Linked DNA regions of Arabidopsis thaliana. The protein of the gene in region 2 interacts with the protein of the main gene of each other region in a pairwise test. Each region holds a gene or a part of one and is shown on either strand. Other genes may lie near its edges.

Region 1 (3,922 bases), on a different chromosome or scaffold from region 2:
TTGCATCAACTTTTTTGGAGTAACTTTTCATCCTCATGATTCCCTTTCTTAAGTTCAAAAAATGTAAGAATGAAACAAGATGTGCTAAAAGAAATCTACACAACCTCTTCAGGAATCTCTTTTGCCAACTGCTCCAACACACTTCCCAGAACTTTCAGGGTGGCAAAAACTCTTTTCCTTTTTACTGTTTTCCGTTCCAGCCTGGAAGCCAATATCAAACCGTATGGACAACAATTAAGCTATCTGAGTTATGTTTGGCGTTCAAGAACATAAAATTCACAGATTAAGTGCAAAGGGAAAAGTAATAAGCGCATAGTTTATATACATACTCGTCAGTGAAAGCCCCCGACTCACGGAGCTGTTTCTCTTCCTCCTTCAACGTGTCAACATTGTTCTTTTCTCTGTATAGCCTGTAAAATTCTTGTAGTCGAAGAATATCCTGACTTCTGTCTATGGTCCCAACCTCTCTTTTTGCTAATTTTTGCTACAATTAACAAGTGATAACAAAGCATTTGAATGCAAAACCATGGGCAAAAATCACATAAATAAAATTCAATGAAGCTGATCGTATAATTTACAAGCAACGCATTTCAGTTTCCGAAAAACAGATTCGGAATTCAAAAGTATCTGCCACACATTGATCATCTATTATATATATCAACGACATCACAGGATTCATGCAGCTTCCAATGGCATAAATAACATATTCAATGAAGTGGTCGGTAACAAACATATGGATGACTGTATCTAACATACATAAGAGAAAAATACCTTAATAACAGACATCAATCCAGTTTTGAACTGTAAAACACCTCTGCCTTCACTATTAGGATCGAGATTTTGTGCAAGTGAGTAACCATGCTCACATACTGCAGTAAAACAATTGTCAAGAAGATCACAACAGTGTCATTGCACAGAGAAAAGAAAAGCTAAACCCGCTAAGGAACAAAACCCAAGTAAGAAGAGCTTACAGATTCTTGCAATGTTGGGATCCTCATCCTGAATCTCATCGGCAGCTCTAAGAATTGCATCGATGTCCCTATTGTTGGATAGTGAGGAAGGGACATAACCAACAATACTGCTTTGATTACCACCAGCAACTCCTCCTGTTCTATCTCTCCGTAAAGCAGCATTCACCAGCCTCTCCCAAGATGACTCAGCTCGAGACATTTTCTACAAACAAAAAACATCAAAGTACTCAGCAGCTTAAACTAACGTAAAACCCAACACTAAGTAAATGAAATGTAATCAAATCCAGGAAGATACACGTGAATTATACAGATTCGGACAAGTGACCTAGGCACAACTGAAAAAAGCAAAATAAGTTGTAAACGTTGTTCTTTAACCTAGGACTAGTTGTAATCAACGAAACAAAACTAAAAAAAAAAATAGAGAAAAATTTAGGGATCCTGAATCTGAGCTTCTCGCGTCTCAAGTTCATACGATTGAAACAAGTAGACAACAAAGACATTAAAAATGGATAAAACCCCCCAAAAAAAACAAAAGCGGGAGTTACCTAATCAGACGTCAGAAACCTCAGATATGGAGTCGAAGCAGAATTGGATCAGTCATAGAAGAGAATTAGCCAAGAATTTAGCGAAGAAAGCTTAGAAGCTAGCTCGCTTATGTCCGTCTTTCTAAGTTTCAAAACTTTTTCGTTTTTTAGGGATTTTTTGTTTATTTTAATCTAAAACATTACAAAGAAAGGAATCTGGATGTTTTTTATCAAGAAAAAAAATGAATCTGACAAACAAAAATTTAACCGCGTGTTGACAAAACAAAAAAAAAGAAATGAAAAGCTTAGCCGCGTTGTCAAAGAAAAATCGAACCGAAACGTCTTTTGAATCGCCGGATTAACTCTGGTTAACAGTCAAACCGGTTATCGTTTTTTTTGTTCTGAACGCATAATCCTGATTCTCGACCCGACCCGACCCGTTACTTTGATTGGATGTTAATTTCCCGAATACTCTCTCGCAACGTAGATCCTGGTGAAGCCAAAGGCATCGTGAGCAAAATCCGCAGTTTTCTACATTAATGGATTGTTTCTGTTCTAGAGCTTCTCTTCCGTCTCTGTGATTTCTGGGTAGATTCTAGGATTTCTATTTGCATCTCTAACCTGAGAGCTGCTAATAGTCCACACAACTTTTTAGTTTGTGAGTTTTCCTAATTTAGGGTTAGGACAAATTTCTGTATTTTTCATCCAAGGGGATAAAGATGTATGCTGATAAATTGGAGGCTGAGTCTGGAAGCAGGAAGGTCGTTAAGGATCGTATCAATGGCGGTTCTGGAGACATCTCTACTCGCGTGCGACAAGTGACTGGGAAGAGGTTCTTATCTATCTCCCTCTCTCCGTCATAATTCTATTGAGATATATCTTGCTTTCCTCGAAAATTCTTCAGTATGTTAGCTGGTACTTGGTGTTAGAGTCTTTTCCTCTTGTGTATAATCTTCCTTGTAGCATCCCCAAGTTTGATTCTTGCTTCGCTCTATGAATTAGAGTATGGAATCCGCTCTTTTTGTTAGCTTACTAGGACTCTCTGATTTGCCCATTTTGAATTGGTAATTTCAATCAACTTCACTGCATTGTCAATTAGATCAGCTTTATGAGCTTCTCTAGTTTGAGTGCCTACCTGCATAGTTAAATCTGGAGATGTGATCTATCTGATGATGTTTTTGTTGATGGTTGGTGATTTGATTAGGGTTTTAAGGCAATTTAATTGAATCTTTTGGGTGATGAACTTTTTTTGCTTTTGCGTTGGGGAATGGTTTATATTCCTCTCGTTATGTAGTCTTCATTGTTAATTACATATCAGTTTATCTCAAGTTTCTCCTTCCTCATGCTTTCAGGCAAAGGCAGGACGACAAATGGGAGCATGATCTTTTCAGTAGTGACAAACCTCAACTTTCAAGTATGTTTTTCCCCCTCATCTATTCTTTCAGTAGAAAATTAAGTATGACAAAAGTATTTCTGTTTGGTTGTTGATTCTCTATCGGATGGCTTATTTAGATCGCAGGGTTGATCCTAGAGATCTTCGTTTGAAGCTCCAAAAGAGACATCATGGGTCTCAAAGTGGGCGAGAAGCTGGTTCAGGCGTGCGGGATTTACGGGATCAGCTCTCTGGGACAATGAATCAGCAACCAAAAAACAGTGACCCACCAAAATCCAAAGCGGAGGCTGCTAGGCCAAGTATGAAGAGCGTAGCGACTGAAACAGAGACTAGAAAAACTTCCAGTCAAGCTACCAGGAAGAAATCACAGCAGGCAATATGATTCACTTTTCTTCAACTATATTTTTCCATCAGTACTTTATTGCTTGGGAGAAACCATTCTTCTGACCGGTGCGAAAATGTAGTTAGACACATAGCTTACGATGTCTCTTCCCTTGTATACAGGCCATCCACTAATGTTTCTTTGCTTGTCATCTTCTGGTTCAGGCTGATTCATCGGTTGATAGCTTTCTTGAATCATTGGGTCTCGAGAAATATTCAACAGCGTTTCAAGTGGAAGAAGTATGTAATATCTTCTATTAGGTTGAAATTTATGTTATGTTATGGATGATGCATATATAACGTTCCTATCCTTTTCGGTCATTCACAGGTTGATATGGATGCTCTCATGCATATGACAGATGATGACCTCAAGGCTATGCTCATACCGATGGTAAGCTTCATGTTGAGTTGCCACACAACATCTAGTATCACTCTTATCATATCTTGCAGATTTTGAATGAATTTCAATTTCTCAGTTTTGTTTGATCTGTTGTAACGCGAAAAACTACATCCACTCTCTTCGTTCAACATTATTACGCTCTCTTTTCACAAGCTATGTTTTCGTTGCAGGGTCCGAGGAAGAAGATACTTCTTGCTTTGGGATCTAAACCCTAAGAGCTTAGTGCCATCTACCTGATGGTTGGAAGCTCAGG
Region 2 (3,922 bases):
TTCTTGTTTATGGGCAGATTTCTAATGAAGCCTAAAGAATAAGAAGAACTGTTGAACAGAGATATCATAAAATTTCATCTCCAACTATATGAACACATGTCCGTAGTGAAAAGCACAAAGTAAACTAATTCGGAATACATAAATTGCATCAAAAGTATGTACTTATAATACATCATTGCATCAGAAGTACTAGTAATAGGCAAACTACATAGCTTCATTGCAGGTTTGATGGAAAATTTAAAAGCAGAAAAGCTTTGAAGAAGTGTTCACTTACATATGTTTTGCCATCTCGACTCTTAACAAACCTATGGCGAACAATATTATTGTCCAAACGGATACGATTCTTTGCTCCGGGTTCATCTGTCATGAATGTGTCTTCTTCAACGAATGTTTTGGCATCAAAAGGCTTTGGATCAATCCCCATGATATTGGAAACTTTTATCATGTTCATCTGAAAAAGATCAAAGAGAAAACGGTATATGAGGAAGCGCAATTTTGCTACAGAACATCTTCACTACAGATAGACAACTAGAAAATGGGGTTTCAGATATAAAACAGAATAGCACGCTCATGTACACCAAATGGCCCTTCATGCTAAGTAAATGTAGAAGCATGTTTCAGTGCAATGGTTCTCCACATAAAAGACATCAGATACTCACTCTTCGAACCACAATGATATGAGAGATTTTGGTAACTTGGAAATACCAGAAAGGAAACTATTGATTTGAAGCCATGTCAGCGAATAATCTTTTAGCAACATAAAGCAGGTATACCTTAACGGGGTCACCTGGAGGAGGGCGGAAAGGAACCTCCACTTCCAAAGGGGGACCAACTGGCCTCTCCCTGTACCTAGCTTCAACATGTTCAGCTTCTGACTCGTATTGAGGATCTTCTTCAGGGATTATATCATCAAGCACCATATCATCGGGTCTCAGATCCTTCTCAGAGCCCTCTTCATCTTCGATTGGCGATCTCTACAAAATTAGACATCTCATCATACATACATGCAATTTCATATGGTTTCTAAAAGGAAGCAAACACTGGAAAGGAAACAGATATTCTGTAAACTGAAATGTAATATTAGATGCAAGACTCACATGTTCATCCTGCTCAACGTCATTCCGAACATATTCTTCTGCGTCTTCATCATCCGAAGATCCGAAAACATTACGAATATTTACGTCTGACTGTGCAACTTGAACCTCTTCCTTCTCCTCACTAGGTGATCTACCCACCACGCCATATTTCCATGTACAAAAGACAAAGTGATCCATAAGAAATTTGAAAATCCAAGGAACCTCAGAGGACTAGCAAGTATTATTAAATCCAGAGCACAGAAAAGATCAAAAAGAAGCTATGAAACAGCTAGGAAAAAAAAGAATGGAAAAAGGGGTACCTTGGACTCCTAGTCTGATCAACCTCTTCATCTTCAGACTCATAATGCTTTTCACCAGACCTCTCTGATCCGCTCTCAACAACCTCCTGTCTCCTCTTTTTGGCTACTCTACCCCCATGTTCTTCTTCTTTGTTATCACTATCACTATCTCTTGCTTCACTTTCCTCTTGTGGATCAGCCTCCTGTGAACTTTGCTCCCTCTCACCCTCACTTTCTCCAGGATCAAGTTCTACATCTCCCTGTTCCCCGTCAGACTCAGCTTCAGCTTCTCCGTGAACTTCAACCTCAGCTTCACCTTCTCCTTCAGGCTCCACCCCGCCCTCAGCCTCATCCTATCAGTGTTTACATTGGAAATTTCAGCCACAATTTCACTGATATCTTAGTCTAGTTGATATTAAGAAGAACTGAAGCTGAATTAGGCCTAATAAGTTGCATTGGTTCCTGCAATTAACCTAAAACCCTAAATTCAAGCGAGAAGAACTCCAGAAACCATTCGTATTCCAAGGTGTAATTGAAGAACAGTGGCAGTGAAAAATACGAAAACTGAAACAATCAATAGTGACGAAACGAAGGAGATAAAGATGGAGAGAGTTACGGAAGCGTAGTTAGGCTGACGACGATTGCATTCATGTTCGGATTCGATCTCTTCTTCCTCGGAATTATCTCCGAACAGATTAAGCATCATCTCGGATCTCTTTTCTCCTTTAACCATCTTCGCCTCACTTACTCAAAAGTCACTGCCTCTTAGCTGGTGACGGCGGCTCGTGATCTGAGCTCCGACGAAGGGTTCACTGTTATCGGCCTTTGTTGAAGAAGCTATTTTTTTTTCATCTCTACCTCGCGATTTTATGGCATCAGAATTATTATTATTAAAAACAATTGTTACAACTTACAAAGAAAAGGAAATTTTCATCGATATATCTTTTTTAACGCATTACCGGATTATTAAAAATCATTTTTTTTACGTGTAACGACGACTAGAGAGGGAAAAAAGATGGGATTTTATGGGCTTTTTTGAGATTGGAATTCAATATTTTTGGCCCACAAATTTTGGGTTATGGATACCAGTTTCTTTGTGATAGTGAGCTTGTGTTTGCCTTGGCCCCTATGTATATGAATGATACAACATCCTTTTAACTGATTCTTTTGGCCCCTATTTTTTTATATTTAATTTATTTTAAAAACTAATTATTAACTTCTTTGATCAAATAACTTGAGTTGCCAAAATAAATGTTATGTCTTCTTCTAAAACATTGTTGTTGGTTTATAGATTTTATCTGCTTTAGAAATTAACAAGAGACAAAGATTAGGTAAAAGCATAACCGACTTGTGTTCTATGAAAACTTAAGTGACAACTAAACATCATGAATATTCAGGAAATCCTGAAAATTTAAACAGAATTATAGTAATTTCTGAAAAACTCAAGAAATTATGGAATAAAAAGAAAAAAGAAAAAACTATGGACACTTTTAAATTACTCAAACTAGTTTAAGGCTTTTGGAAATTTCACTTTTTGCTTTTTTTTAACTCGAGAAAATTACAATTTTATGTAGACACATTTTGCTCACAAATGTTTATTTATATATTTTCCATAAATTTATTTTTCAGCCTTTTATCTACAAAAATTTATCTTCTAAGAATGTTTTTACCACCAAAAATAATAAATATAAACCACAAAAATAAAATTATATATTTTATATATATATATATATATATATATATATAACAATTTTTATCTATGATATCTGGCAGTCGCAGTTGGCTTAAGCCGCCTGGCCGCCTCTGGAGGGACCAAAATAATTCAAATGGTAATTACGTGCCTTGGCTTCCAACCAACGTTTTTGACTAGGGCTGACTCGGTAGCTTGTTATGTTAGTATAAGAGTTAACTCCATCTGATACTCAGCTGAATAAACTCATACGTACAAAGGAATATTATCTAAAAGACGAGAGTACAAGTGAGAAATGGCGTTAAAGGTGATCAAGATCTCCCGAGTCAGCCCTGCAACCGCCTCCGTCGACCCGCTCATTGTCCCACTCTCGTTCTTTGATTTACAGTGGCTTAAACTCAACCCTACCGAGCAAGTCTTCTTTTACAAACTCACCGAATCATCATCATCTCGCGACGTTTTCTACTCCTCCATCCTCCCCAAGCTCGAGCGATCTCTTTCACTCATCCTCACTCACTTTCGCCTATTCACGGGTCACCTTAAGTGGGATTCACAAGATCCAAAGCCGCATTTAGTTGTTCTCTCAGGAGACACACTCTCTCTCACAGTGGCTGAGACTGATGCGGATTTCTCACGTATCTCTGGCAGAGGGCTTCGTCCAGAGCTAGAGTTACGCCCTCTAATACCCGAGCTACCGATTTATTCTGACTCGGGGGCTGTTGTATCTCTGCAAGTCACTTTGTTCCCGAAACAAGGCTTCTGCATTGGAACCACAGCCCACCATGTCGTCTTGGACGGCAAAACGGCTGAAAAATTTAACAAAGCATGGGCTCACACTTGTAAACATGGCACCATAC

Evidence for each region.
Region 1: the proteins of VIP4 (region 2) and AT3G07170 interact in a two-hybrid assay, tested with the Arabidopsis thaliana proteins (one large-scale study listed by BioGRID).

Annotation. Positions count from the first base shown.
Region 1 is NC_003074.8:2,278,214-2,282,135, forward strand, and holds the start of AT3G07170 (Sterile alpha motif (SAM) domain-containing protein), read left to right. Parts: upstream 1-1,980; 5' UTR 1,981-2,214; coding exon 2,215-2,327; intron 2,328-2,334; exon of another isoform or gene 2,335-2,500; coding exon of another isoform or gene 2,501-2,559; intron 2,560-2,847; coding exon 2,848-2,909; intron 2,910-3,007; coding exon 3,008-3,261; intron 3,262-3,434; coding exon 3,435-3,509; intron 3,510-3,597; coding exon 3,598-3,660; exon of another isoform or gene 3,661-3,839; coding exon 3,840-3,884; 3' UTR 3,885-3,922. Other genes in the region: GSL10 (glucan synthase-like 10), read right to left, coding at 105-201, 330-484, 772-869, 972-1,170.
Region 2 is NC_003076.8:24,605,421-24,609,342, forward strand, and holds the start of VIP4 (leo1-like family protein), read right to left. Parts: upstream 2,306-3,922; 5' UTR 2,109-2,305; coding exon 1,992-2,108; intron 1,729-1,991; coding exon 1,397-1,728; intron 1,228-1,396; coding exon 1,098-1,227; intron 975-1,097; coding exon 774-974; intron 452-773; coding exon 275-451; intron 1-274. Other genes in the region: AACT1 (anthocyanin 5-aromatic acyltransferase 1), read left to right, coding at 3,361-3,922. UniProt on the Arabidopsis thaliana protein: Component of the PAF1 complex (PAF1C) which is involved in histone modifications such as methylation on histone H3 'Lys-4' (H3K4me3). Involved in regulation of flowering time. Required for the expression of the flowering repressor and MADS box gene FLC.